Alligator mississippiensis: one gene and its partners. The protein of the gene in region 2 interacts with the protein of the main gene of each other region in a pairwise test. Links are inferred from orthologs where the notes say so. Each region holds a gene or a part of one and is shown on either strand. Other genes may lie near its edges.

The links.
Region 1: the proteins of UBQLN1 (region 2) and MIEF2 interact in binary tests that used the Homo sapiens proteins (3 or more experiments, as listed by UniProt). The two-hybrid records come from large-scale screens. The link is inferred for Alligator mississippiensis from reciprocal best matches to the Homo sapiens genes UBQLN1 and MIEF2.
Region 3: the proteins of UBQLN1 (region 2) and CD99L2 interact in binary tests that used the Homo sapiens proteins (3 or more experiments, as listed by UniProt). The two-hybrid records come from large-scale screens. The link is inferred for Alligator mississippiensis from reciprocal best matches to the Homo sapiens genes UBQLN1 and CD99L2.
Region 4: the proteins of UBQLN1 (region 2) and SCG2 interact in binary tests that used the Homo sapiens proteins (3 or more experiments, as listed by UniProt). The two-hybrid records come from large-scale screens. The link is inferred for Alligator mississippiensis from reciprocal best matches to the Homo sapiens genes UBQLN1 and SCG2.

The regions. Positions count from the first base shown.
Region 1 is NC_081836.1:55,062,862-55,069,887, forward strand, and holds the start of MIEF2 (mitochondrial dynamics protein MID49), read left to right. Parts: upstream 1-4,007; 5' UTR 4,008-4,120; intron 4,121-4,164; exon of another isoform or gene 4,165-5,748; intron 5,749-7,026. Other genes in the region: FLII (protein flightless-1 homolog), read right to left, coding at 451-531, 1,806-1,877, 2,416-2,526, 3,646-3,708. UniProt on the Homo sapiens protein: Mitochondrial outer membrane protein involved in the regulation of mitochondrial organization.
Region 2 is NC_081826.1:202,971,529-202,979,264, reverse strand, and holds the start of UBQLN1 (ubiquilin-1), read left to right. Parts: upstream 1-4,717; 5' UTR 4,718-4,853; coding exon 4,854-4,997; intron 4,998-7,736. UniProt on the Homo sapiens protein: Plays an important role in the regulation of different protein degradation mechanisms and pathways including ubiquitin-proteasome system (UPS), autophagy and endoplasmic reticulum-associated protein degradation (ERAD) pathway.
Region 3 is NC_081831.1:74,498,171-74,505,982, reverse strand, and holds the start of CD99L2 (CD99 antigen-like protein 2), read right to left. Parts: upstream 3,016-7,812; 5' UTR 2,959-3,015; coding exon 2,865-2,958; intron 1-2,864. UniProt on the Homo sapiens protein: Plays a role in a late step of leukocyte extravasation helping cells to overcome the endothelial basement membrane. Acts at the same site as, but independently of, PECAM1.
Region 4 is NC_081830.1:51,202,330-51,209,814, reverse strand, and holds the start of SCG2 (secretogranin-2), read left to right. Parts: upstream 1-4,465; 5' UTR 4,466-4,580; intron 4,581-7,485. UniProt on the Homo sapiens protein: Neuroendocrine protein of the granin family that regulates the biogenesis of secretory granules.

The DNA of each region.
Region 1 (7,026 bases), on a different chromosome or scaffold from region 2:
AAGAGCCAGGCACTTTAGCCAGTCTCAAGTCCGGAGGGCTGTGCCTTTACTTCCAGGATCCCAAAGCCGCCTGCTTTCTGGAGCCAGGGCAGGTTTGTAAAGGGTTAATTAGGACAAGAGGCACTGCCAGGGCTACCAGTACTGGCAGCAGGGGGAGCTTTGGATGCCACAAACCTGGGCAGCTGTTGACCTGGAAGCCACACAGGAATGCCCCACTCAAACAGTGGTGACTGACGGGTGAAGGGACATGCCGGGGTCACGCTGCCAGGAAGTGGCAGACTCAGACCCCAGGAGTCTGGGTTCACAAGCTCTCTCAAATGGCCCGGCCAGAGGGTTTTACAGCTGGGTTTGTTCTCAGCCCACTCCGCTCTCCCTGCTGGAGTCTTGGCACTGCGAGCGACCATGTCACGGGCAGAGGGAACTGGGCCAGCACAAGCCCCCGGCACATACCAGCACCGAGAGGTCGTCCAGCTGGAAGATGTCATCGGGGACGCCCGAGTTCTTCAGGCTGTTTCCTCGGGCCACGATCGCCTGCAAAGGGGAGAGAGAGCTTGGGGCAGAGGTCACCCAACAGCTGCAGGGAGGAGAAGAGGCAGGAGGAGGGATCCTAGGGGTGGGGGGCAGGGAGCAGTGGGGATTTTGTCCAGCTCCTGCCAGCCTGTGGGCTCCATCCCGCCAGCTGCTCAGTCCTGCAGAACCAGCAAGTACCTCCAGCCTCTGATCCCCCCTGGGCAGGACAGGGCCCCAGGCTGGGTCAACCTCAGTGGCCCCCAGGGACTTTCCAGCCCAGAGGGGGGCTCTGAGTGTACCCTCGATTGAGTCCATGGCTGCAGAATGGAGCCCCGATGTGCACCAGGCCACCCTGCGAGTCAGTACGAAGACACGGGACAGAACCCAGGAGTCCTGGGACCGCCTTGCATCCGGGCAGCAGGGTGGGGGTGCAGGGTGGCCCCGGTACTTCCCTAGGGCAGCTTCCAGGGTGGCTTTGGGAACAACTCGTTCCAAGAGACCAGCCTGGAGGGAAACCTTAAAGGCTCTAATGGCGCTTGCACATGTGCTCTCTGGTCTCCATAGCAGGCTGGTGGGAAGCCAGAGTCCCTCTCCCCTCCGGGAAGGCAGTGCTAGCATCCTCAGGACAAACCCCCATCAACCAGAAGCCTGCAGCAGTCCTGGACCCAGCCCAAGCCAACCCCAACCGCACCCTCCAGCCACAGGCGGGAGCTGGCCGGCTGCATCCCAGCACAGCAGGCAGCTCCACAAGTGACCGAAGGCCCAGAGCCACGTCGCCGGCCCTGGAAAGATGATGGGCCCTGCGGGCTTCACACGCTCCCTCCCTGCAGTGGGCGCAGCCTAGCAATCTGGCTTTGGAGCACCCGACCCCAGCACAGACTGGGCCAGAGCAGCCCTTAGGCGTGGGGGAGGTCTGGCACCACCCAGCCAGGGGAGCTGCTCAGCAAGATGCCAAGAAAGGTGAGGGCTGAGGATTATAGCCCTACGCCCCCACAAGCATCTTCATGGAGCGAGGGATTCAGCTTCTCCAGCAGGGAACCGATCCAAGACAGCACCGCACGTGGGCACAGTGGCCTGGTCCAGCCTCAGCCCAGCCGGGGGCCTGGGACACTCAGCTCCACCTTTCCCTGCTGCGTGGCACCTGCTGGATGTCACTGCAGACCAGGCCAGCGAGCTCCCTAGTCCTGGCTGTGCTGAAGGGGCTTGTGCATGGCCGAAGGTGAGGCTGCCCACGTAGCTGGACACCAAGCCCCTAGCGCCTGCACGGGGGGCGTTGGGGCACAAAGGGCACTTACCCGAAGGCAGGGGAGGCCAGAGAGCTCTCCATGCAGTGTGGTCAGGCTGTTGTGGCTCACAGACAGGTGCTCCTGTGTGGAAGCCAGAGAGGCAGTGAGAAGAGCCAGGGACACAGTGAGACTTGCACACCATCAGCTCCGAAGAAGCCCCCTCGAAAGTCAACCCACATGCTCCGGTGAGCCTGGGTCAGGTCCCAGGCACCTTTCACAGCTGCAGCTGCAGCTGGGGTCAGATCCTGCCATCAGCATAGGAGCAGGTGCTGGCTCCTCCTGGCCAGCCCTTTTGCCAGCCTTATGGTGCTGCCCCAGGCACCAGCTGGGTGAGCTGTGTCAGTGCCAGGGGCCCAACTTGGCTGGGTGGCCCCCCTCTCAGCTGACACTGGAAAGCAAAGGGGCGGTTGTGCACACGTGTGTGCACATGCCAGGACACTGATCGGGCAGCCCCCACTGCCTCCCACCTGCCTTCCCACTCACCTTCTGCCAGGCCCATGCCTTGGCTCTCAAATGCCCGTGTCTCAAGCTCCTGTCCTTACTCGAAGCTCCCTGCACCGCCAGCCCTAAGGGGAGCCACCCTGTGGGAGCGTGCCCGGCATCCAGGCACCGTCCTTACCAGCTTCTGGAGTGCAGAGAGCTCCTCCGGGAGGTAGCACAGGCCCGTGCGGTTCAGCTTCAGCCATCGCAGGCTGGTCATACATTTCACGTGCTCTGGGAAATAGCCGCCCTGGGAGAGATGCGAGGAAGCATTTGTGGCAGAGGAGTGGGTCCCAGATCCCTCGTCTGCCCAGGATAGCCTCCTGCATGAAGGTGAGTGCCCCAACCCGGCCCTCTCGCTGTTGTGAGGCTGACCAGGGGTCTTGCCCACATAGACAAGGCTGCAGGCAGCTCCACCTGTGCACGGGGCCTTGTCGGCCACAGAAGCAGGGCTCCCTGTGCCTTGAACCAGCAGAGCCGTGCGTCATCCTGCCCAGCTAAGCAGCCCAGGTCTGGCAGTAGCTGCCTTCCCTTCTAGGGCTCTCAGCTGCTGGGGCACGGCCTGCAGCTCCCGGAGACACAGGACTGGGAGGGGGCACGCAGGTGAGTCCAGTGCCCTACACAAAGCATCCATCCCGGTTCCTCCTGCCCACCCCAGCACTGCTCCGTGTGCCCCCAGGAGACAGCAGGACGGACCAGGAGCCACGTACACCCTCCCACTGGGTGCTGCGTGCCCAAGGAGGATAATCATGGGGAAGCGACACCCAGCACAGCAGCACTCAGTCCGGGAAGAGGCAAAAGTCATATGAAACTCGTCCCAGAGATGATGCCGGCCCCAAAAATGCATCCCAGGAGAACGGCCAGCCCCATCCGGGATGGCAAAGGACACAGCCAGGCCTGCACACCCTCCAGGGTCACAAGGGAGATGGCTTTTCAGATGGAAGAGACTCGCCCGCCTCCGGACGCCCCAGAAGGAGAGGTGGGGGTGGCAGGGTGGCACGGTGGCCCATCCCAACCCTTCCGCTCCCCGTCCGGACCAGGTCTGCGGGTGTGGCGGGGACAGCCCGAGGCCCCCAGTCCCAGCAGCTGCAGGGCACAGCCACCCTGCACCCACCCCCGCAGACCCCAGCGCGGTGGCACTGCTGTGGGACCTGGGTCTCGCCCCGCTCCCTTGGCCGGGGAGGCACCAGCTGCGCAGGGGGACGAGCCAGGGGAGAGTCCGGCCTGACCTCACCCTCCGGCACCCAAATATAGCACCCGGGTGGGTCCTCCCCCGCCGGCCTGCTCATCGCACCGTGACGGGCACCGGCTGGGCTCGGCCCTCGATGGCAGGCAGGGCAGCCGCGAGGGAGGATGAGCGCCGCGGTACCTTGAAGTCGTTGCCGCTGAGATCCACGCCGCGGATGAAGGGGAGCACGCCCGTGGCCGCCATGGCTCCGCCGGCCCGCGACAGCCGTCGCCCGCAGGAAGCGGGGCCCGCCCGCCCTTAACCCCTTCGCCGCCGCGTCTCGGTGCGGACCCGCGCGCCGGGGCTGGAGGCTTTCGTTCCGCGCCGGGGCTGGAGGGGCGAGATCCCGACCCCGATCCCGATCCGCCGCCAGACAGCGCCGAGCACAGCGAGCAACCCGCGCCGCTCCTCCCGCTGAAATAGGGGCGCTGCGGCTTTAAGGCCAGGAGCCGCCGGGTTCCTGCCCCCTTTGTGACGCACGTTCCATTCCGGAACGTTGCAACGCGGCCGCGCTCGCTCATTGGCTGCCGCCGCTACATTGTTGCCAGCGCCGGGGTCGTGCTGTGGAGGTGCTGGTTTGTCCCGTGGACGGGCCCTGCCGGGGCTCAGAGGGAAGGTGAGTGCGGCCGGGGCGGCCCGCGGGTGGGGATGGTGACTCGAGGGTTGGGCTGAGCCCTTGGTCTTCAGTGGGGAGGCCGTCCCGTCCCTTCCCTTCCCCGGGCGGGACTGGGCTCCGCGTCCCCTCCGCTCCGGCCCGGAGCTGAGGTCAGGCGGGGAAGGAGGGAGCTCCAGTACTGCCCCTGCTCGGAGCGGAAATGGGGGGAAGCAGTTGCTTCTTGCTTCCCTGAGCCGGTCGGCCTCCCCCGCCTGCTCCTGCCCTGCCCGCTGGCTTGCTCTGCATGGAAACATCAGTCCGTGCGGCTGTGCCCGGCCTGGGGTCGAGCCTCCTTCCTGCAGTCGGGGGAGGCCCTGGGCCTGGTGCAGGGCACTGCTGTGAACACATGCCGCAGCACCATCCTGGTCGGGGCGTCCGCTCGTATAAGAGACCCGTCCTGGAAGGGGCTAGTTTCTGTCCCTTAATGAGCACACCTCAAGGAGTGATAGCTTTTCAGAGCCCTGTTGATCCTGGGATCTAGTGTTTTTGCCCTTCTGGGGCCTCACGAGCTTTCCGCTGCTGTGCGTTCCAGCTTCCAGGCTGTTTCAGAGATGCACCCAGCACAGGCCTGCTCGGCGCTGGGTTGCTGCTTAGCTGCAAGGCGTACATGGTACCAGGGCACCTGTCTTGGCTATAATAGGCAAACTGCCCCAAACCAACAGGAATCTGGCACTGAGCTCCTAATACCCTCTAATCCCCACCTCCACTGTTGTTTGCAGCTTTTCTCTTCCCATGGCGACATTGCTTGCAAGCAAAGCGGAGTCATATTTGGGGGGTGACTCCCATGCTGCATCTGTGAGTCATTCCTAAGGTTTCCAACCCTGTCGGGGCTCGAGCTGTGACATTCGCAGAGGGACCTGAAGTGGCTCTGGGCTGGGGGGTAGAAACGCTGTGCTCTGCCCCTACAACTGGGAAAGGAGAGGACTGCCGTGGAGAAGGGGCTTTGGGGGTTAGAACAAACTGCCACTTGATGCTGCCTGTAGAGCCCGGGGCCTGGCTTGCTTTGCTGGCTGCAGGAAGTAAGATGCCTACACAAATGATCTGGAACGGACCTTGCCCCGCATTGAAGTTTCACAATCTCCACACCGATCTTAAAGGAAGGCCGTGTACGCTGTGGTTGTTGATGGCTAATGATACTCCGTATTTACCCAGCACCTTGTCTACAGTTCATAAATATTCCACCTTCCCCGGACTATTGCATGTTTGTCTCTTCTGCAAAACAAGGAAGTGCTCGCAAGGGCTGTGACTTGTCCCACTGACTCACAAGTGCCTGGGCTATGTTGGAGCCTGGACTCCCGACATCCCACTTTACTACCACAGACAGGCCAAGCTCTTATCTGAGAGCTGGAGCTGAACCCTGTCTTGAATTCAGTTAATTCGCAGCAATGAGAGTCTGAAAATCCGGTTGCACTAGATACCTCTCTTTCCTTAGAGAACTGAGGAAGATGTATCTTTCATAGATTGCAGAGTCGGAAGAGACCACAATGGATCATCGTGTCCGACCCCCTGTCCAGGCAGGAAAGAGGACCGAGGTCAGATGGCCCCATCCAGATGACTATCTAGCCTCCTCTTGAAGCCTTCCAAGCTAGGTGATGGCACCACCTCTCTTGGAGATCCTGGCCACCTTTACTGTGAAAAATTTCTTCCTAATATCTAACCTAAATCCACTCTCAACTAGTTTACACCTGTTATTCCTAGTCAGTCCCTGGGGTGCCCTAGTAAACAGTGCATCACCTATTCCCCGTTGACCTCCCCTAATAAATTTATAGGCGGCCACAAGATCTCCCCTCAGCCGTCTCTTGTGAAGGCTGAAGAGATTCGGCTCTCTCAACCTCCCCCCCAGGGTCTTTCCCGAAGGCCACTAATCATGCGAGTGGCCCTCCTTTGGACCCTCTCGAGATTCCCCGTGTCCCTCTTGAAGTGCGGCGCCCAAAACTGGACACAGTACTCCAACTGCGGCCTGACCAGTGTCGCATAGAGGAGGAGCATCACCTCCTTTGATCTATTAGTCATGCACCTGCTAATGCAAGACAAGGTGCAATTGGCCTTGTTGATGGCCTCGTTACACTTGGAGTCAATTATGACTCCAAGATCCCTCTCTGCCTCCCAGCTGCTGAGAAGGACACTCCCCAACCTATAGGTGTGCCGGGGGTTCCTCCTTCCCAGGTGGAGTACCTTACATTTATCTTTATTAAATTGCATCCTATTTCTCTCTGCCCATTGATCCAACCTGTCCAGGTCGGCCTGAATCTGCTCCCTGCCCTCCTCTTTGTGCCCCTTTCCTGCTGTTGCACTACCAGGTGCATGGATTCAGTAACCTGTGAAGGCCTTGGTGTTCCTGTTGTAATATATCTTTTTACAGTGTCTGTAGTGTTGATAAGTAGGGCTGTCATAGCAAACGGTATGTTGGTTGTGGAGGCATGAAGGGGAGTGGGAGAGACTGAGTCTAAGAAGGCAGGAAGGAAGAGTGTGTGTGTGGGGGGGGTGGGGAGTGGCTGGTGATGGAGGTGGAATGATGTAGAGCCAAGAAAGGGAGTATGAGGAACTAACAGGCCTAAGGTTAGGTGTAATGCATGTCCACTTATGGACTGAAGCACATTATACCAGGCTCAGGAGCAGACAGACATGCGGTTATCTCAGGGTGGCCCATGCAGTAGATGACTGCTACAGGTCCTCAGTGCTAGCCCGTTTGAAATCTCTAGCAAATGGCTAGTTGTGGACAGACTCAGACAAACTCTAAACTGGTGTAGCTTGCTCTTGGCTTGACTCTTCCAGGGGTCATCCTCCATCAGGTTGGATGATGTTATTCCAGTTCAAGGAGTTGTCATTTGTCCTCTACAGTGGGTTATACTAGGGTAAGTGTTGGA
Region 2 (7,736 bases):
TAAATACTTTTTAATATTAATTGTGGAATGTATTACTACTAAAATATTTTAAAAACAGGTTTACTTCCCATTACAAATGAAAACATTATTTAAATTTTGGAACTCTTTAATGAAAACTTAAAATTGGAACTTAACCTAAATAAGATGTTGACAAGAAATTTTTCCTTTAGCTCATAAAAACAAATATTTTCCTTTTACCACCTCTTCTTAAAGTGCATTTTTTTAGAAAAACAGCTTTTCACTTGCATACACTTCATGAGATATTTTAACTGCTTGTTGACAAAAAATATTGTATTATTTTGATTAGTTATACCTCATGTAAGAATAGCAGTGGGTTTAGAAATTCCAGCATGTCCTGTGTACAACAGACTTGCAATATTTTTTGCTCTATACCTGCAGTATAATACAGATATTACTGCAATGTCCTTAACATTGTTAAAATGCAACAGAGTTTTGGGTCACATAATCAAAATATAGTCCCTTGTTTCCACAGCTTTTTTATTAATAACTCTTATTTAAATGCTTATAAAACAGATTGCATTTCTCGCTTGATGTCCAGACCTGTAGGGGCAAAGGACTACTGACTACAGTTACAGAGGTTTGATTATGAGACACCAGGATTGGCTCCTATGGGGAACATCTTCACCCGAGTGCTTACATAAATAGTTGGGTTGACCAGTAGGAGAATTCACATGAAAAAGGGAGCACAGGAAGTCTTTGGTCCCAGGCATGGAATAGTTGTAATACTGAGGCTGCACTAACACCTGCTAATTGAAGGAAAGGTTGTGTGAGAGAGAGAGATGGACTGCAGCAGATTCTAATTTTTTCTGTGCCTTCTCACTGAGGCAGGGCACCCCCACAGGTGGCAGAAGGTCAGGGATTCAGCCCCCGCCAAATGCGGGGCAGCAGGTAAAGCCGCAGGGCTGCCTGGCCGCAGGCTTCAGGTGGCTGCAGTAGGGGTGGGGAGGGGCATGCACACAGCCAGGATTGCAGCCTGGCATATGAATCCCTGGCTGCCCAGCATAGCAGGCAGGCCGACTCATCTTATCCAATAGAACCTGCAGCTGCAGGGGGCCCCGCAGCCAGCCCCTGCCCCTGACACTGCCGTTGGCTTCTTCAGCTGCTTGCCACCAGCTCTCTTCCCCCCCCCCCCACCATGCTACTGCCAGCTTCTTTGCATCAGGGGGCCCCAAAACATTGTGGGCCAGCCCTGAGAACAGGCAAATATCATCAGTCTATTCTGTTAGGAGGAAGGGGCATGGGGAGGCAGATCGAGGTTCCCATGGTAAGGGAGAGAGTGGGGCAGAGGCAGGGGCATGGGCTGTGGTAAATGGGGCCCTGGCCAGGCTGGGTGTTGGGACAATCGGAGCTTGGGAAGCTTGTCCGGGCGGGGGGGCAGCTTCTGCTGCTGTGTGCACCCTGACTGAGGCCTGGGGGGGGAGGGGCACATGTCCCCCCAACCTACAGGTGAGGCAGAGGTGGCTGTCGTTGTGTGCTCAGGCTCTGGGCCCCACTACAGCTGCCCCAGGAGTGGTAGGACGCTACGCGCCTGCCGCTGCTGGGCTGCACCGTGCCCCCAGCTCGCCCAGTGGCAGGACACGCGTGCTGCCCCTGGAGCAGCTGTAGCAGGGCCCAGAGCTGTCTCTGTCTCGTGAACAGATGGGGGGGGGCACATGCCCCCCAGGCCTCTGCCAGGGTGCACACAGCAGCAGGAGCCCCCCCTGCACCCCTGGATGAAACGCCTGGGCTCTGATTGTCCCACAGGGCCCCATTCACCGCAGTCCCTACCCCTGCCTCTGCCCCATTCCCTCCCTCACCGCAGGGACCTCAATCTGCATCTTCCCCCCCCTCCCCCCCGCCCTTCCTGCACACTTGCCTGCTGGGTGCAGGGGTGTGGTGCACAGATGCACTCAGCCCTCCCAATAATTTTTTCTCCTTCCATTTATGGGAGCCCCACTAGCAGTTCACAACCTGTATAATTTAATGCTGGCAATGTGCTGGGGTGGTGGAGGTAATAAGATAAGATTGACTTCAATTTGAGCAGTACCGACACCTGGGCCTAATTTCAGAGTGATAAAATTCTTCCACAGTTCTTTACTTGTGTATAGTTTGGTCATCCATTGAGTTCATTTGTCAGTTGCCAGTAGTTACTTCCATCTGAATTTGGTATCTCCATGAGACAGCTTACATTTGAATGCCTTGCACTGCAGGTGCTTATCCCCAGGAAACACCTGTGCCAGGAATGCTCTGGCATGTGGCAGGTTACTTTGGGTGGGGTAGGAGAGGCTGGGGCCAGCATAATTGCTGGCCCCAGATGCCTTACCTGGGGTTCTGGGGGATATAGGGAACAGCAGCTGTGGCACTCCTGCAGCTGGAAACCTAGCTGGCAGCCCAAGTGTGGCACTGGCCAGCCAGGTTCCAATTGTGGGCAGCATGCGCTGCGGCCATGTGCAACACACTGCTTTTTTTGGTGTGGGTTATTTTGACCCTAGGCTCCCCTGGGGTCAACCCCCCCCCTCCTCCCTGCACTGCAAAGTAGCAGCATGGGGAATGCCTACATGTGCAGTGTGTGGCACCGGAGATGGGTCTTAGGTGCCATGTACCACATGTCCATGCTTGTCTGGACGCACCCATGGAATAATGGCTGGTTGAAATAGGTGTTACACAGTGCAGGAATCAGCTTGTGGTGAGGAACGGATGCTTTCAGGGCATTGTAGTGTTCTTGACACAGCAATGGAAGCAGGAGTCAGTGTTTTTTTAGGTTGTGTTGCAAGGACTGGGTGCAGTGTGATCTAGGCTAGGGACAGACATTCAAAAAGCCAGAGCCTGAATTGATTCAATATTTGCAGGTTAGTCTAACCAATGTAGATTGAACTGATTTGCAAGTGACCAGAGGTTCAGTTTTGATTCTGGAAATGCAGGCACATGCCTGTGATGGCTCAGGCTAGAAGCCAGAGATCTTCCTTTCAGGCTAGGGGGAAGCTGAACTGAGACAGGTGTGGCCAGGCCTCAGCAGACTGAGTTCGTTGGACAGGGGTTTAAACCCCCAGCCTGGCCTGCAGGGACCCCAGCCAGGGTCTACCCCTCTTGTTCCCTTCTGCTCATGGCTCAGCATGGCCTGGAACCCCCAAAGCCCTTGTCCCAGCTAGCAGGTGATCCCACTGCACCTTCCCAGCTGCTGGTGCCTAATTTTACTTGGGGCAGCCCAGAAGCAAAGGCCTAATTGTGGGGAGAGAGGGACCTAGGAGCAAAGTTCCATAAAGGAAAGCTCCTGTCCAGTGGCCCCTTCTACCCACTGGAGCGCAGCGCCTGAGACGGCCACAGTCTTTGCTATGCTGTGCATGGCAGGAGCTCACCTGCTGAGCCCCAGCACTATGACCTGTGTCCCCTGGGCACCAAACTGGGCGCACTGTGCTCACTGTTCCCTTATCCAGTGGTGGCACAGCACAGCCCCGTGTACCAGGCTCCAGGTTCCCTGTGGCTTCCCTGCTGCCGCCATCACTGTTGGGTGCCTGCCCTGGCCGTACAGGTAGGTGCCAACACCACTGCCGAACTGCGGTCAGCTACCAGGTGTGCAGACAACAGCTGGGAAGCCCTGGGGTAGGGCCCTGCCCCTAGTGCACAGGGCTGTGCTGCATCTACAGCTTCCCCGCTGCTGCCTGGGGTGTGGCCAGACGCAAACCTAGCATGGTCTCCTAAGGCCAAGTGGGCAGGGAGGAAGTTTATTCCCCACTCCATCCCCTCTCCCACCAAGAGACTGCAGCATGGCCCAACCCAGCTACTGCCTCTGCTGCTTGCACCTGGCCAGGCAGACCCCAGCTGTGGTCCCCTGGTGGGTGGGGGAAATAAACCTCCTCCCTGCCCCCTTTGCCTCAGGGGGCCATGGCAGGCTGGCATCTGGCCATAGCCCCACCCCTACTCCAGCTAGAGAGCAGAAGGGCAGGGCCAGCCCTGCTCTCTGGAGCACAGCGCATAGTACAGCACCACCCAGGGCTGCAGAGCATGCTGGGAGGCTGGTTTAACTTAACCCAGGAAGGGGTCTGGGACAGAAATTCTATAAACTAGTTTGACCTAAATCAGTTCAGGCTGATACTACATTCAACCAGGTTTCTCTCAAACTGGTTTCAGCCATTTTGAAACTGGTCTGTGTGCACTGAACTTCTGTTCTGTTATAGGTTTAAACCAGCTTCTGATCACTTCAACCCGTTTATGTGTAACTTCTGTCCCTTGCCTTGTGGGGTGATCAGCACCAGCAAGCATATTCTCAAAACGAGGGTAAAGCAACTGAGTGGGTGGGGGGTGTTGTATTAGTAGTGTGCTGTTCCTGAATTGATATTGTAGCCCGTCCTCACTTTTGGGGGGAGGGGGCAAGCTGCGCTGAGCCTTAACCCCCCGCCTGAGCCCGTGCTCAGGTCACGCGCAGCTGGAAGAGCAAGCTACACGACCGGCGGCCGAACCCAACCAGCCACAGCGCATGCGCGTCAGGACTGCTACGCACCCTTTACCCTAGTGTTACATGCGCACGCGCAGCGAGTGACCCGGCAGTAGCCGGAAGTACCCCCCTCTTCACAGCCCGGAACACCACCCCGTTTCGGTCCCACGCATGCGCACTGCCCGCCCGGCCCTACCGCGCACGCACAATGCAGAGTCACTTTGCTGCGCATGCGCAGCGTGGCTGAGCCGCGTCTCCAACGCCAAGCCGGGAGACACCCCCTTCTAGTAACTTCCCCGCGGGGCGACGTCATCACCGCGCGCCACGCTCCGCCGGGCTGTTTCCGTTGAACCCTCCGGCCGCGAGGGCTTCCGGCGGCGCGGCGCGAGGGAGCGTGTCCCGAGCCGGGTTCCCCGCCGCCATGGCAGACAGTGGAGAGGGGCCCCCCGCGGCCCGCAGCCCCCCGGGCTCCCCCGCCGCCGAGCCGCGAATCATTAAAGTCACCGTGAAGACGCCCAAAGAGAAGGAGGAGTTCGCCGTGTCCGAGACCAGCAGCGTCCGGCAGGTGAGGAGGGAGCGGGGGAGAGGGCGCCCCTTCTCGTCCAGGGCCGCGGGGCGTCTCCCCGTCGCCTCGGAGCTCCCAGCGGCTTCGGGGCGGGCGGAGCGCGCGGCCTTCCCCCCCCCCCCCGCTTCCGGGCGCCGCCGGCCTGTGCGGGGCCGGCTGGGGTGAGTGGCACCCGCTGAATCATCCCCCACACACCCCCCTTGGGGACCTGACCTGTCCACCCCAGTCCGGACCCAGTGCGAGTCCATGAGATGGTAGAAAAGGAGGGTCTGTGGAGGTCTAGTCTAGCTCCTTGCTCTGAGCAGGGCGTTCCCATCTGTGTGGCGCCAGCCAGGGCTTTGTGTTAAAGGTCTCCAGGGATGGCAACTCCACAAATTCTTTAGGCAGCCTGTGCCACTGCTTTGCTGTCCTCCGGGGCAGATCAGGCTGGCAGTGGTGGGAAAAGAGCAGGGAACTAGCGAAAGAGGTGGGTTTAGGGCCAGAGCTGTCTGGCTGAACACCGCCGCCCCCCTCTCCCCCCCCAAAAAAAAAAAAAAATAGGGCTCCAAGGCCAAGGACAGCCTGCTCTGGTCTTGCACCTGTGTTGAAATGCATTCAAGTTTTTCAGCCTAGCTGGAAGCGTTCCTGTTGAAGTCATAGCTCCCTTTTCTGTGGCCTAATGAGCTGTATTCTTCCCACGTGGTACTGCTGCCTGTTTCTCCATAGCATCTGACATAGCAGGCTGTATGTAGCCTTTGGCTTGTGCCTGTGAGTTAGTCTGTAAGGGGCCACCCTGCCCAGCCTGCTGCCTGTGTACATGGCCAGTGTCTACATGCAGAGACTGACGTGCCAGCTGCCTGGTAGCTAAAGAACAAAGCCACCTTTTAGGACAAGGCTGCCAAAACAAGATGGGGGTTCCAGTAGCAAGATGCAGGGCCAGCCCCCTGGCTAGACTTTCCCTCTTGCTAGCTGTCAGGAAGGGGGAGGATGCTGGAATTTCTTCCAGGGTATCGTCCCTGAGCCCTTTTGGGATTCAGTCTCTTATCTCAGCTTTTGGCTTAAACATGTCTGAAATTGTAAAATTCACTGTTTTACTGCTGAGCAGGGGAAACATCTCTAGGCTCCACCATGCTACCATGGAGCTGTGGCAGGGTTGGGTGTTCTCTGTTAGTTTGTTGCAAGCATGTTTTCTGGCTTTTCTCCCCAGTATAAAACTCAAGCACATCTGCCTTTGCTGCTGCTCACTGCCATTCCAAGAAACAGCAGTGTAAAATGGACATTGTTCTTTGCATTTCCTCGCTGCTCACAGAGACCTGAGTAGTATCCCTGAAACTGACTGGTTTTATTTCTGCTGTTTTTGTCAAACCTGTACAGCATCACATCTGATCTGTTTAGAGATGGTTGGGGAATATAGATGCACATTTCACAAAAACTGATGGATGTTCCTCCTTAATTTAAAGCTCCTTACTGGGTAAAAATGACACTATGCAATTAAGTATAAGCTGATGACCTAAAAGCCTTTTAAGAAATAATTTAAAAAATGTCCCTGTGGTCTTGCAGGCACTAGATTAGGGTTTGCTCAAACAGCTTTCCAGTTGCAAATGGATACACTGACATTTGTATTTATAACTAACTGGGAAGAGAAATGCACTTAGATGTGACTTTTGCCATTAATAGTTCCAAAGACATTTAAGCTAGACATTTAATTTTGAATTGCATTTCTTAAATGTGAAGCTTTAAAACAGGTGAAGTGTTTCCTCTGACAGCTGTCTAAAAATTGAAATTGCTAGGCTTTTTTTTTTTTTTTTTTAAACAGAGACATGAGATGCTTTCACAAAGCGATTTACAGAATATTTGTGTGCCCACTTAAAATGCAGATACGATAAGCAAGGTGGTTAAAATAAGCTTACCCTGTTGAGGAGACCTTGAGTTAAATCATGGCTCTGTTGAAGTCTGTGGAAAAAACTCCCACTGATTGTAATGAAGCCAAGAAGACTTCACCTCTGACTTCCAGCCCTCATACTTCTGATTCCTATACAAAAATGGAGGCAACTTCTAACCCCTACAGGGATTTAAGGCCTGCAGTTCCTGTATCTTAGGTATTAGTAGCTACGCCTACACTATGAAACTGACCTATTGTTAACAGTATCAACAATGGTTTCATTTGCATAAGCAGTGAAAATTTCAATGTACAGACAGAACCAAATAAATTTTGAGCATCAAATCGTCTGTATCTGTTGTGAACAGTGGCTTATTTGACTAATGCAAGCAAGTTATTGGCATTATCCTCTTCCAAAAATGGATAACGGTCCTGAACTTATTTAGTAGCTTATAGGTATGTCTGGAGTGCCTGTGTAGTCCTATGCAAGTTGAGGTCATACGTGGTACCTCTTTGAACCAGAAAGGGTAAATTTCTTATCTAGCTGCCAGGTGCAGTGTAGGCTCTAGTACATAAGCTTGTTCTTTCATAGGTGTTTCTGCATGGTACTCCATTGTCATGTAGACGTACCTAAATAGCTTTTCAAATCACCTTGTAATGAAGGAAATGGTTAGTAATTTGAGACATTGATTGTCCCTTTAAATAGAGTTCACTGGGTTGTTTGCTTTAGAGTAGAGCAGTTGGAATCCAAGTAAATGCTTTGGCTCCTTAGAAAAGCCTGTACAATGCTGAGTCTGTTTTGTGCTGCTTGATTGATGTGTAAAGTGTTACTGTCACTGTGGTAGAATTTTCAAATAATGTCCAAGTCGGATTGTCATTGT
Region 3 (7,812 bases), on a different chromosome or scaffold from region 2:
TGTTCTGGATTTAAACATTTTCCTGCTGCATCCATAATGCAAACACTGACATGGAGTCCAGAAGTGGAGCTCTGTCCATGCTCACAGTAACATGTGAGCATGGGATGAAGACAAGCTGCAACAGTGGCAACCAACAAGTAAATTCAAGTAAAATTGTTGGAGACCTTCCCATCTGAACAGTATGCAATGTTTTGTACTTGGCTTTACCATTTTACCATTGTTTAAGAAAAACCCTTTAAGAGTCTCTAGGTGGGACATGTGTCTACTCTACAGTCCTTAGGAGGCTAAGGCAGGAGATGGGGGCACTGGAAGACTAAGATACTCAAACTAATCACTGGATCACAGTAAACTAATGCATCTATGCCTTACTTTTTAAACCACAAAAGACTGCAAGCCTGTGACATACAAACACTGAATAATGCTTAGAGAACGACAACAAATGGGGCAGAGGAGAAAAAACTATAGCAGGACCCAGCAAGTAGCTGAACTGGAGTCACTTGATTTTGTTCTTCAGCCCAGCTTTAAATGTCTTTAAGTATTTTTATCTTTTAAAGCTCTCCTCTTATCTCAGGATCAAGACTAGGATGCTGAACTACTTGATAGACTCCTGAAGAAGTGGTGAAATGACCCAGCCTTGCAGAAGCAACCTGTTTTACTCTGACAGACTATCTACCATAGATTTGATGGACGCTAGGGCTGGATGACCCCAGCAAGTTGAGCATCCAAGTGTTTCTTGAATGTATCCAGAGAACAGCATGAATTTTTCCTTTCTACTGTGCAAGTTCATAAATCCATAGATGATGCTGATATGATGAACTACTGTGACTTGCTAAAAACAATACTTACAAAAATATTTACATAGTACTTTGCATCTTTGAGGATCCAAGAGCCTTTGAACAAAGGCTTCTTCAAAAGCTTCCCCCAATGTCTTGTTGAAAATGAGTGGGACTTACTCTCCTCAACTGTTTGGACACATGAACAAGCCATTCATGCATTAGGTCCCTCTGGCAGGCAGTGCACAGAGAGGTCTGACACAGACAAATGCTATGTGGCACAGCAGTAGAGGACAGGAAACTTCTGGCCGGCAAGGCTAGGCCAGGCCAGGAGAAGAAGCCCCTTTTAAAGTTGACACAGAGCAGAACCCAGCTCCATTGCTTTAATCTTGGAGCTCATCAGCGTAAACTGAAGCAATCTGTCTGTCTTATCTTAGACGGATCAAGAGCCAAGGCAGCCAGGCAGGGTTTGGAGACCATTTAAACTGTTGCTTACAAGCAAATACAACCACTAGTAAACTCTCTCTAAACTACCCGTTCTTACTACTTTTTTCCTGCCCAAATAACATGTTCTAACAGTCTTTTCTACCCTAAAAAACTAAACATCATATACAAACTTTAAACTAAATATTTTGTAGCTCAACAATTCCCAAACTTTTTTCTTATTATGTACCCCCCACTTCCACATTTACCTACGTACCCCTACCAGCATATGTCTTATATTTTAACCCCTTCTGCCCATGATTTATAATAATGAAAATTAAATCCACCATTGTACAATTTCTCCTGCATACCCCCCACCCCAGGGCTGTTCTATGCACCCCCAGGGGTATGCACATCAGTTTGGGAACCCCAGTCTAGCTCAACAGGGAAGAGGGGGAGAAAAGTGAAGGGGGAAGGAGCTCTGCACAATTCAGACAAGTAATGAACTGCACACAGTGGGCAGCTGCCTACCTAAAACAAACGGAGATCAGACCCGAACCGCAGCGCTGTGACCTCCCAAAACAAAGGCAGCGTGCTCTGCAGAGCCCTGCTCCCTCCTGATCTTGCTGCTAGGACTCGGACCAGTCTGGACTCATCGGACCAGCGACTCTCGTCCTCACCCGCTTACTTGCAAATTTTATTTTCCTTCTCGCTTCGCTCCCAGTCCGACCTCCGAGTGTGCTGCAAAAAACCCCCCCAAAATCGCGCTGCCCGTGACAAACTTCATCCTGACTTAATTTCCTCCTCAAAAAACCTTTCCTTTCCTCCTCCTTTCCATCACCGTTATGCCCAGTGGGGCGGTTTCTAGCTTCGGCAGCTCCGATATGCAGACCCCAAAATGGGGTAGGGCTCATCTCCCCACACATCCCTAAGGGCCGATGCTGGCAAGAGTCCTGTGGTCTCCTGGAATAAAGGGGCTCACGGGCAAAAGTTTGTTGTAGGACGCTCAGCCACCTCTGCCTAACCGAAGCGGACGCATTTGGCCTCGGGCATCTACTATTTGGTGCATCGTGCACAATTATATAAATATAGCTGCATATGCATAGCTGTCGGGTGCTCTAGCTCATTTGTAACAGAAGTGGATGCATTTGGCCTCAGGCGTCCACTATTTTGTGCATCGTATATATAAACATAACAGTATGTATATGTGTAAGGTGCTCTCGGTCACCTCTGACAGAAGCGGCTGCATTTGGCCTCAGGCGGCTACTGTTTTGTGCATCGTATATATATATCGTTATATAACTATAACAGTGCATATATATTTGTAGGGTGCGCTCGGTCACCTCTGACAGACGTGGCTGCATTTGGCTGCAGGCGCCTGCCGTTTTGTGCCTCACAGACACATGTGCAAGCACGGTCCTGCGGGCAGCTGTGGGGTCATCTTTAGCCTTTGGCCTCCCATGTCTCCCATTGTGTGCCTCAGGGATGCGCGTGTGCGGCAGGGACACGAAGCCGTGGCGGTGGGAGGCCCAGAGGGGCCGAGTGTGCCGCACTCCTCTCCCGTTGCACACCCGCTGTGGCAGCCCCGTCGCTGCCCGCTGCCCCCCCCCCCCGCGGCCCGTGCCGGCAGGCGCGCACGAACAAAAGCGGGGCCGGGCCCCCCCTTACCTGAGCCGAGCAGGGCGGCCGCGGCCAGGAGCAGCAGCAGCAGCGGCGGCAGCGGGGGGCGGCGGCCCGGGGCCGGGGCCGGGGCCGGGGCCATGTCTGCGTCTGCGGCGCGAGGCTGTGGCGGGCGCTGCTGCGGCGTTGCCGGGCGGGCGGGCGGGGCGGGGCGGGGCGGGGCCTGGGCTGCGGGCCGGGCCGGATGAGCGGGGCCGGGGCCGGGGCCGGGACCGGGGGCGCGGGCGCGGCCGCCTGAGGTAATCCCGCGCCTCGCCTGGGGCCTTGCTGCTGCGGCGCGGGGCTCGGCTCGGCTCGGCCCGGCCGGGGGTGCGGGGGGAGGGGCGCCGGCCGCGCCGCGCCGCGCCGCGCCGCACGGCTTGTGGCGGCCCCGCGCCGGCGCGCCTGACACACGGGGGGGGCGCGCGCGTGTGTATGTGGGGGGGGGGGTGTGTGCGTGCGTGCTCGGTGTTGTGGGTGTGTGGGCGGGTGTACGTCATGTACACACCTGCCTGCGTACACGTGATTGATCTGTGTACAGATGGAGATACGCGTGTGTGATTTCAAAGGGCCATTGTTAGCAATAGATGAGCAGTGTGTGTATAGATGTGTGTGTGTGTGTACTTGTATGTGTGCGCGCGCTTGTGTGTGTCTATCTGTGTGCTTGTATGTGTCTATCTGTGTGTGTGTGTATGTGTGTGCATATATGTCTATGTGTATATAAGTATGTGTATATCTAGGTGTGTATGTAGGTGTGTGTAAGTGTATATGTATGTATATCAGATGTGTGTATGTGTGTGTATCTAGGTGTATATCTGGGGGGTGTATCTAGGTGTGTGTTTGTACGTGTATATATGTGTATATCTAGGTGTGTGTAGGTGTGCGTATGTGTATATATATGTGTATAGGTGTATGTATGTGTGTATGTGTATATATGTGTATATCAGGTGTGTATGTGTATCTAGGTGTGTGTATATATGTGTATATCTGTGTGTATCTAGGTGTGTATGTGTGTATATATGTGTATATCTAAGGGGGTGTATGTGTGTATGTAGGTGTGTGTATGTGTATATATGTATATATCTAGGTGTGTGTGTGTATGTGTGTGTATATATGTGTATCTAGGTGTATCTGGGGGGTGTATCTAGGTGTGTGTGTTTGTGTACGTGTATATATGTGTATATCTAGGTGTGTGTATGTGTGTATATATATGTATAGGTGTATGCATGTGTGTATGTGTATATATGTGTATATCAGGTGTGTATATGTAGATCTCAGTGTGTATCTAGGTATATATGTGTATAGGTGTGTGTATGTGTATATCTGTGTATATCTAGGTGTGTGTGTATGTGTATGTATATGTGTATATCTAAGTGTGTATAGGTGGGTGTATGTGTATATATATGTGTGTATCTGTATCTAGGTGGGTGTATGTGTGTATATATATGTGTGTATCTAGGTGTGTGGGTGTATGTGTATATATGTGTATAGGGGTGTGTGTGTGTGTGTAAAATAGGAGCATACTGGTGATCTATTCCTAACGATGACCCTTTGGTCACATATTGTATTCATATATACATACATTTTTTGCCCTCCATGTTCTTAAACACGGTGGCACACTCTTTGTCCACATCTCAGCATGCACCCAAAGGTGGGGCAAAGGGGTGTTTAGTTCCCCACTTTCCTCATAAACTCATCTCATAGGGCTGAAAAACATTCAGTTGTGGCAGTCTAAGTTAGAGTGCACATTGGCATTCAAGTACCAGAATATGCCTTTTATGCCCCAAAGTGTAGACTTAAGCCCCTGCATGGAAGACTTTGGGTAAAAGTAAATTTGCACCTTAAACTTTTTGTATCCCGTGTTGGAGATCTGGGATGCACAGTAATAGCTGTTTAGGACCAACTCCAGCACTCTGCAAATGTGGTTCTCCGTGGCTAGGCAGCCTGAAAAGGGTCAGATCTATGTTGACGGCTACAAAATATAGAATGACTCTTTTTTCTGGGATATTCATAAATCAAACAGTTCACCTCTGAAGCTCCTTCAGTAGTGTCTCAAGAACATCCTGTATCTGTACTGACTGTGGGTCTGAGGAAATACTGAAGATATAAGGTGGCACTGAAAGACAGCAACTTTAGCGATTCCACAACCTATTTATGTGGCTTTGGACTGGGAGGTAACACAGGAATTGTTCTGATCTGTTTCTCTTAGGCTTTTTTCTCAGACTATGTTGGCTGGATACAGCATTATCTGTGGCTTATGCAGATTAGTTTAACAAGGCTGTGGCATTTGCCATTTAAAGTTACCTTAGCTATAGGAAATGATTATGTCATTTATTTTAAAATGAGAGAACTGATCTCCTAGGGAGGGGGGGAAAGAGATTGCCTTGTACTTGCTGCATGTCAGCAGGTAGTAACCAAGTCATGTAACTTAATCTTATTTTTGATTATGTATTATGTGAACTCCTAGGAGTTTTCTAATGCAATTAATTTATTTCAGATCCTTATACTTCCAGGTCTCAGGCACAAGACATAGAGTGATTGTGTAAAATGAACTCATATACACACTATTGGAAAATTCTGGCTTGCAGTTGGTTAATCTTGCACTACACTAAAAAGAACCCCAAAACCAACTTGTCCCGCGTAGAACTATAATAGAATAATTGGGCCTCTGGGATCTAGCTCCTTTGCAGCCTTTGCAGAGATGCTGTAGATGTAGTCAAGAGTCAGGAATGTGGTCTTCATGAGCATACGTATGTGCTTCCTGATCTGACCCTATCTGCCCCCATGCACCCTTCTGCATAGTCTATTCCTAGCATTTTTCTAAGGTGGAAGGTCAAAATGTAGGTACATCTCAATAAGTTTCTTGCAGGGTTAATGTGCACCCACCTGGCAGCAGTGGGTACTGCTATTTCCTCCTTTGCTCAGTGCCATACCATGTTCTTAGATATTGGTCTGGTGGGATCAGCTGACACCCGAAAACTGAATATTAGAAACGAAAACTGATCATAAAATGCAATCCTGATTTCTTTTACCATTCAGTTGAATTCATATAATTGATTAAAAGATTATTTTCAACTAAACAGTGTTTCTGTTGTAGCTCTTTAGTGTGGAAGTCAGCTCTGCAGGAGGCCTCAGGAATGGCTGTTTTGCACAGCAGTTTGAGCGCAGTCTGGATGTCAGAGGCTCTGGGTTGCAGCTGTGATGCAGTATGTGGGTTTGCCTGAGTGTACAGCACAGAGAGCATACTTGGATAATGGTTCTGGGCACAAAATCTTTCTCTTGCTCTTTTAAAGGCCCGTCACATGGCTGCAGCTGGAATTTGAGTGGGACTTTATGAAACCAATGTGTAAACATTCCCATTCTGACTCACTTTTCAGAGGTGGCAGCGTGCAGGCATGAATAATGGCGCTCATTTCTGCTGGAAATACTAAATTCTGTCTTCCTTGGCTTGGAGATGGATGCGTTGATGTTCATAAGCCTGGGTAGTCAGTAGCTCAGATAGGGAGAGCTTTCTGCGCTGATATCTTAACATTGCTTTCGTTTAAAAGCCAAATGAAACAAATGCTTTAGAAATAATCTCAATCCAGGTGGAAAGACTCAAGTTTTGCATCCCACTCTCTGCTTCTTTTGATGTGGTCCTGGTTAACAGTGATTGAAAGGACTCGTCACCTAATGGGGTATTTTTAGTGGTGCAGGTGAACAGAGATGAATAATGTTAGACTCCCAACATGCATGTGTCCTCATTGCAGACATGATCACTGAAAGAAGCAGCCTCAGATGAAAAGGCTCTGGGCTGGATGGTTTGATAAAAATGCAGCTCGCACTCCCCTTGGAAAGCAGTCCCTCTGGAGAGACGGTGGGGGCCGGGGAGTCCGTGAAAATCTTGTGTATTGTGGTTCAGCAGAAGACTGCAAACTCTAAGGCTGGTCAATCCCAAACCTTTCAGGAACAGTAAATTGCTGTGGATTCAGTCAATTAGTTTCCATGTGGATCTTGTGGATCCTGTCTAGATCAGGTTGCATTGTGGAGCCTGCCCAGGAAAAGCTGTTAATGAAAGCGTGTGGGTTTCATGAAGGCAACGTAGTGCAGTGGTGTGTTTAGATTGTTAATTGCAAATTCTTCTCTAATGCTGCCGTAGCAGAAGGGGGGGGGAAATCCCGGTGACCCTTATTCAGCAGCAAGAAGGAAGTGAGGAGGAAATTGCAGAGAATACAGAGCAGCTCATGTTCAGCTGCTATGCAAGGCAGCTTATGCACGGATTCTCTGCCTGGTTTTCCTTCATCTGCTCCCCTTTTCTAATGAAAGAAAAGCTCAAGACAACGATCCCACTCAAGTTCAAACTAAATGAAATGAACAGGACAACATTTGTATTGCCTCAGCCTGTTTCCCCAGTAATCTCTCTGCATACTATTTGCATTTCAATAGCCGCCTAAGCTCCTAGTAATTATTGTGCAGTGGTTGGGTGGGGGTATAATGGCTATTGTACTGTATTAGAGTTCTGAGCGGATGAGAGCAGCATCAGCAGCAGCTGACATGACCTGCGACTGCTTGTTATTTGCCATGTTATCTGAGTCTAGAGCCGGCACCGTTGTTTGTGCTTTGATTCATAATTATGACAAAATAAATGAATTGAGCCAGTCGGTCGATAGGGAGCATGGAAGCAATGATGTGTTCCGGGGCCGGAGTGGAAGAGGGCAAGACAGAGCTGGACTGCGTGTTGGGAAGAGCACATTAACAATAATCAGGTGATGCCTAACTTGAATAATCACTCTGAAATAGAGGCTGGTGCTGACCTTGGACTGCCTCAACTCTGACTTAGACCCGTAAGATCTGCGGTCATGTGCAATCTGTTCCATGAGTTTTGAACCAGACCCTAAATGGTTAATGTCAAGAGTTAGGAGGAACACATGACTTTGGGCATGAGTGATGACTAGTCAGAGTCCCTGGTGTACTATCA
Region 4 (7,485 bases), on a different chromosome or scaffold from region 2:
GACTTCCCTTCAATGGATTTGTTCTCATTTGCATCAGATGAAGATTTGGTACGCTATCATTAACACAAGGTGCAAATGCTGTCAAAAAAAGCTCTATTGGACAAACTGAGATGCTTTGGCAGAGCCATCCCCAAATGTGAAGCAGCCTGAGGCAGACAGGCTTGCATTAGCAAAGACTAAATTCCAGAGGGCCAGACTGTGATCTCGGCCACTACTGTGTAACAGGAAGCAACTTTAGTTCAGTGAGTTCAGAATCTGAGGGGCATATGAAACAGAAATATGAAATACATCCAGGTTCTACAATCTTGACAGTTCTGTGTTGGCTGGACTTCGTAATTGAAACAAAGGAACCACAAGGCGACAATGAATTGGGCCTAAGAGACAGCATGAATGATCTAATGGATGAAGCACAGGACCTAAGGTTAGGAGGCCTGGCATTCGTTCCCAGCTCTGCCAATGGCTTGCTGTGTAACCTGGGGCAAGTCACTGTATAGCTCAAGATAGCAGTGGACCTGATCTCTGAGGCCCTTGGTGCTACTGTAACACTATTAAGAGTGATAATCCTAGTATTTATCTGTATTAAAATAGTCTCCTGTTGAAGTTTTCCTGTAGCAACATATAAATTACACTTTGCCTCAACACCTGTCCAATTCTCTCTCACTACAGTATGTAAAATAAAAATAATCTTACAATTTAGGGGTCACTGAACTTTTCTCATTAATGGCAAACTGTCTTTTTTAATATCTTCTCTGGGTTTTAGTGTTTTCCATGCACATTAATTGTCTGCTCATCTTCTGAGGCAAACTTATGGGGGGAGACCAGGTGCTACAAAACTTATGCCATGTTGACGCTTCTTGGCTAATCTATTATGTATTGCAGGATCTTGCTTTGGGGCCCTCCTAGGTTTCCTGGTTTCCAAGTTAACACAGCAAAGGATTACTGCAGAAATTATTCTCTTTGAGCAGAATTCTGAACTAAATGGTTATGTGGAGTCAGGGGGATGAATATTTTTTGCATGAATACATTTTCCTGTTTGCTTTGAGCTTTTTAGGAATTGAAACATTAACAGAGATAAGATATCTCTAAGAGCCCTAAGGGAAATGATGTGGGGGGCTGTTAATTAACAAATACCTACCTGTCCACCTCAGCTAAGATAACGAGTTTATTTTTGCTAGGTTTTAAGAGCAAAATAATATTAAAACTATTGAAGACCCTGCAGAGTGCATGGAGGCAAGTGGAAAGCAGCTGGTTGGGAAAAGCAGGGGGAAAAAGAGAGTGTTGGAGGAAGACAGAGAGTGGCAGAGATTGCTGCGTGTTCTGTTTGTCTTTCTCAGACCTAAAGTCATGTTTTTTGGGGAACAGGGTTGAATAGAACTTATTAATACATGCAAATTTTGTTAAGACCCAGGCATATAATTTAGGTGTGACACAAGCACATAAACTGTCTTCTAATTTGCTTCTCTACCTCCTGAGTATATTAATAAAACTTCATCATAGAGAAGCTGGTTTTGAGTCACTTTAATCAGCCTCTGGCCACATGTTCCCAGAGGGAATGGTTTTATAGGTGCTGAATGTGATTTGAACTCTTGCCTTTTTTTCAACAGCTGAAGAACGGGAAGACTGCAGCTCAGAAACCCAAAGAGCTGCATGGTTCCTCTCTGAAAGGCAGAATAGAGTAAAATCTATTGTCCAAGGGTTGCACTCTAGGGGCATGTCCCCACGAGCATGTTTGTGGTGCCGCTAATCACAGGCAACATGTATGCATTCATTCACCATGCTGCTGATTTGCAGGATGGCAGGCTTTTTTTACATCAGGAGATCCCAGTGTCAAAAAATCCACTAAGAAGTGGTGTGGTGCACATGGCTTCAGCATGAGCATGTACCACCATAAAGCGAGCCTGGGAAAGCAGAGCCGCACTGAATGTCCCTGTGGAATGAGCACTAGCTGATCAGCGCTGCGTGTCAGTCAGACTGGTTTTGGACCGATTTGATTCTGTTGAATGTGGAATTCAGTCCAGTGATTAGGACTCCTCAGACTCTTGCTTTACTTTGACTTCTTTGGTCTTCCAGGACTGTGCTTACAACTTGAAACTTAGCAAAGCCTAACTTTTCTCTTATACATTTTTTTTTTCTGTTTGACTCAGATAATAAATTCTGAGCCTTTTATTGCATTTCAAGTTTGTTGAGGTCTGAGATATTTACATACAACTGTGAAGAAATAAGCACTCCAATATAAGACTAAATGGAGGTTAAATAGATTAAAATTGAAAATATTTTCTAGAATTTCTGTATCTGAGGTGACAAACTTTTTCTGGATGAAGGAAAAGCTCTCCTCTACCCACAGAAATAGATATTGTAGACATTTATGTTGGTGAAGGAAATAATTTTGAAATGTGATAACTGCAGATATTCTATTAGAAACTCCATGTCTGCAATAAGTTGTAGATTATTTTTGTTGCCATTAAAATTATAGTAGGGGGAAAATTACTTCAGCACTGATAGAATCTTAGTTTATTTTTAAGCCAGCTGACCTTTAGTGATCCCCGTTTGTACAAACTGGGAAACAGACTGAAGTTAAGACTTCAGGAACAGTTACATATTTTGGTGTTGGAAAATATGGTTTCCCTCAGCCAAGTAAACATGTTTCCTGACACTGTTTTCTGCTCATCTGATTAAGGCACTAAGAAAGTGATGGTTGTCTCATGCTACAGACGGTACATATTCACTGTGTGAGAGAGACCCTGCCAAAATGAACTGAATAAGTGGAGCAGACATAGAGCAGTGAAAGGTCTTGTAAGCTGGCAACAGAACGTAGGTGTTTCTGACTCCCAACATGCTAGACCATGCTATCTTGGGCTTGGTTTTTGGAAACAACTGTTCAAAACTCTCTAACTCTCCCTCCTTCGCCTCTGCCTTGCCCATTGTTGGTACCCTACAGGACAGTGGTAGTCTGAAGAGATTTTCATTTTCCTGAAAGGGATAAACACAGTCTTATCCTATATCTTACTAGGAGCATTATGTTAGGTGGAAAGAGAAAGGGCTCCAGAGGTCCTTTCCAGCTACATCCAGTATAGTGAGGAGGTGCCTGGTCTGTGCTTGTGTCAGGATTTTTGCTCTCCTCATGACAATTTAATTCTGTAACATTTATTGGTTTAGAAGGTACAGCCATTCTAATTTTTTAATTTTGTGCTGTAACAGGTCAGAATTGTCAGGAAAGATTTAATTTGGGGGAAAAGAAGGTCTTGTTTTATTAGCTGAGGTGAAATAACAGTTATGGAATAAAAGGAAGCAGAAGGAATTTACTGTCATACAGAAATGGGTTTTAGTGATGTGCTTATATCTTGCACTGACTTACAAGCAAACCATATTTATTTATCCTAGTTGCCTACCTGTATAAGATCTAGCATTTACAAAGCTAGTATGTAATTTAAACTGAAATAAAATGCTAGTTTTTACATGGGGATACAGTAACACTTGCTATTACCTTTATTCTCTCCTGCATACACCTTCCTCTTTCTCCTGAATCCAGGAGGAAAAAAATAGGACAACGCTGCTGTTCCTGCAGTTCCATTCCATCTCTGAGCCACAGCAAAGAGCCGCTCTTCCGCCTGCATGGGATGCAGTAACATTTGCACTCCTGCATACTTTTGATCATTAGTTTTGGGCAGTGAATTAATATAGATGGTCACAACCCTGCCCCAGTCTCCTGCAGGCACTGAGGTTGCTCCATTGGATCTTCCATGTCAGATTGAGGGGTGGGATTTGTCCCAAAGGCATTAAAAGGCTGGGGTTGTTCAGTAATGGCCTTTCCCAGCACTTTTGATGTGCTTTTAGATGGCAGGATCCTGAAAGAGACAAGTATAAAACTGCACCTTAGGGATCTTGGCCTGTTGTTTCCTGTGAGCCCTACCTTGTTATCACCCTACTCCTAGGTCAACAGTACATGCTTTATAGTCTCCACTTGCATCATCTTCCCAATCCTACTGAAATTAGAAATATTTATGTGGGTTCTTTCTGAACAGAGCCTGGTCTTTTAACAGCTAAATATCTGGGGAAGGCTTTCACCTATGAAAGTGAAGCATTTATTTATTTTACATTGCTAAATGCTTTTCTGGGCATTCTTAAAGTGTTTGTGGGTGCTGAGAGCCAGAGGAAGCTAGGTACTTTCTATTTCTTGTACTCAGCATATGAACTTCTTTAAAAGATTTAATAAGGGTTTTTTTTTTCCCACCCTACTTATTTTCAAGATTTGAGCATCTCAGTTATTCAAAGGTTCTCAGTGTTTTGGACGCTATCAGGGTTGCAGTGTTCTCTAGAGGCAGACAGGTGGCATAAACATACAGACAAAATTGTCTCAGAATAGCTGAAACTATTCTTTTCTCCAGTATTCTCTCACCAGCTCAGTTGGGCTGGTGGTTTGTGACTGGCGAAGGTGACGTCAATGTGGCAGTGCAGAGTCAGGTGATGCATGGTATAAGCAGAGGGAGCTGTCCTGGTGCTGAAAACACTCCACAAACTGGGAGCAGACAGACAAGGAGGAAGGTGCTTTGCTGTCACTCTGCAGTCTCTAAGACACACAGGTAAAGCAGCTTTTTTATCATAGTGCAGAGAGATGCTCAATGTAATCTTTTCTGTTCATAGCATTTTAAAGACTACACAATTGTAGGAAAACAGCACAACCGGGGCAACCATTTGAAATAACAACCTGATGCACTTCAGTTGGCACTGAAATGGTGCTGCCTGGCTGACTGCAGGTTTTTCCTCTTCCTTTTTATTCTTTTCTCTAATTGTTATAGGATTTTAAAATAATTAAAAGGGTAGAACCAAAAATAGAGAGTAAGGGGCGGGGGGGAGGGTAAGTGAATGATTCTGCAGTTAATGTTTACAATGTAGTACCAGATTCATTTGTTCAATGAAGCTAACAAGCATCATGTTTCTGTCTGCAAATCTTTCACCCTCTTAGTGGTTCACTGACATGTTTACAACATCATTCTTTAGGCTTTATGGGTGTAAGAGGAGGGGTTGCCTTGGATACAAATACAATTCAATTAATCCTCTACACATCTAAACAGTTGTTTTAATAATTTGGGAACTGTTCGGCTTATGAGACCCTAAAAATAGTCTTTATTATTAATATTTATACTCCTTGCCATAGGAATACAAATTTAGACCAGCTTTAAGAAGGCTAATTTAGTGCATATAGTTTTAATTGCTAGGAAAGTAAATCTGCTAACAATAAAGAAGGCATGTTGCCTTTCCATATTTTCCTTATGGGAAGACTCCCATTCTCACTAGAGCTCATGAAATCTTTGTAAGTTCCATAGGAAAAGAGTTCTCATGACAATTTTTTATAGGAAATTTTACATTCTTATCAGAGAACCATGTGAATCTACAGTGAGGGACTGGGGGAGAAATATTACTGCTGCCATGGAAACCTTAGCGATAGAATTCATTTTATTATTTTGCTTCTTTTCTAAAGAACCTCTGTCACTGTGTTACCTTTGATAGTGTGCATTACACTGACAATTTGCTTTCCTCATTTTCTTAAATGGTGACTGCCTAATCTGATATAAAAGAATTTGGGTAAGGAATAATTTTGCTGTTTGTCAGGTACAAACTATACAGATACTACAACACAAATGAATACAAACACCTTGACCAATCTAGATTGATCTCTCAATTATGTATCTATCGGGGAAACAACCATTTAAAAATGGCGTATTTTAAGAGGACTAATATGGAATGCTGTGTATAGGTTTTTAAGACATTCATCTTTAAAATGTACTTCATTTTTCTCAAATTGTAAAATTAAAGTTCTGAAATATCAAGGTAAAGCACTTTTACCCTAAATAAGGCATTATGTTTAATAAAATAATTTTATAGCCTAATGTCAGAGATTTAACCTCAAAACAAAATACATCATTTAATAATACACTAGAAGTGAAACAGATTCAATCAAAAGAATGCCTGCAATACAATGAGAGAATTGTATATGATCTCTTTTCTAAAAACAAAACATTCACTTGAATCAAATGATAGTAGAACTCCAAAGCAAACTTTGCCTTGGTATATCCATCCAATTCAAATTTATTTCAGACATTTTACAGAAAATGTAAAGATGCATACACTGTATGCATTGTAAGTGGTTGAATTCATCACCTCTAGTAGTGGGAGGTTATTAGTGGACTTTTTCCCTAGAAAAGCTAGAGATATTTACTACTTATTATGGAAAATTATTATGCAATAAACTTTCTGCCAAATGAAAATGTACAGAGTATTTGATTAAATATATTAGTTGGTAACTTTTCATTAAACATATTATTTTTTTCCACTAGAAACATTAATTTTATTTGATTACTAGTATAGATTTTATTAAACAGAAAATTGTAAGTGTTTGGGTTTTTTAGTGTCTTGAGAGCTTTTTCCGAGGTTGAAGCCTTTTCTGAAACAGAATATACAGAGCTCTCTCTATTTTGTTTAATGGAAAACTACAGCAGATTTAGAGAGATCCTCTAACCAACAGTAAAACTGATATTCATAGGTATCAGTCCTGTAGATTATTACTGCATGATGTATTTGATATTCAGACTGATTGTCTGAAGCAGTCAGAGAAAAGGGAAAAACAGTTCTGGGGAACTGATGCTGTTTTCATTAGTTCTTTGTGTCAAGCTATTTCATGTTACACTACAATGAAAAATAACCTGAGTGGAAATACCTATGAGTGAACCAAAGGAAACACATCCACTGTAATTTTCTACTTACCACGGTGAATAACACACTGCTATATGCGGGGTTCTCTGTCAGCATGAATCACCAGCACCTCAACAGGATGTTTTCCAGAAGCCCATGGGAAAAGTGAAGAGCCAAAATAGGTCAATTAAGAGAAGTGTTCTCTATCTTTACCTTTTTTCTCCTTTACAGTACTTTATTCATTAATGCAACTGCATCAGAGAAGGAAGAGGCTAATACTCCTTACAGCCTATTCCTGTGAGATAAGTGTCTTTGACCACAGTGGGAGTGAAAAAGTGGGCAGTTCCTTGCAGGACTGAGCCTCTGTAGATACACTTTCATATGTTGCTATACTCCACTCATGTGATTTCTGTATGATGAATATCATTTTTTCACTTGTTTTACTTCTATTTTTTAGATAGAGTGAAATTCTCTGCTGGTGTCAATGGGTGCAGCTGCACTGACATAAAGGGATATCATCCATTTAAACCAATACATAATTTGGCCCATTCTGGTTTCCAGAATTATGTCCACTCTGGGCTCCATGCTACTCCTATGAAATGAGTGCAGCTACTCTGACTGAAAGAAACAGAATTGGGCTTGTTGCCTTGTTAAAGTCAAAATTAAAAACTGATTGGCCACCCTGAAAAAATTGGTTAGAGGGCACAGAGGAGCCTCTGGCATATTCATTGCCTATGGGGAAATTTTTACCCCTGGAGCTTATTAACTAGAATTCGTGTATGAATAATAATTCAT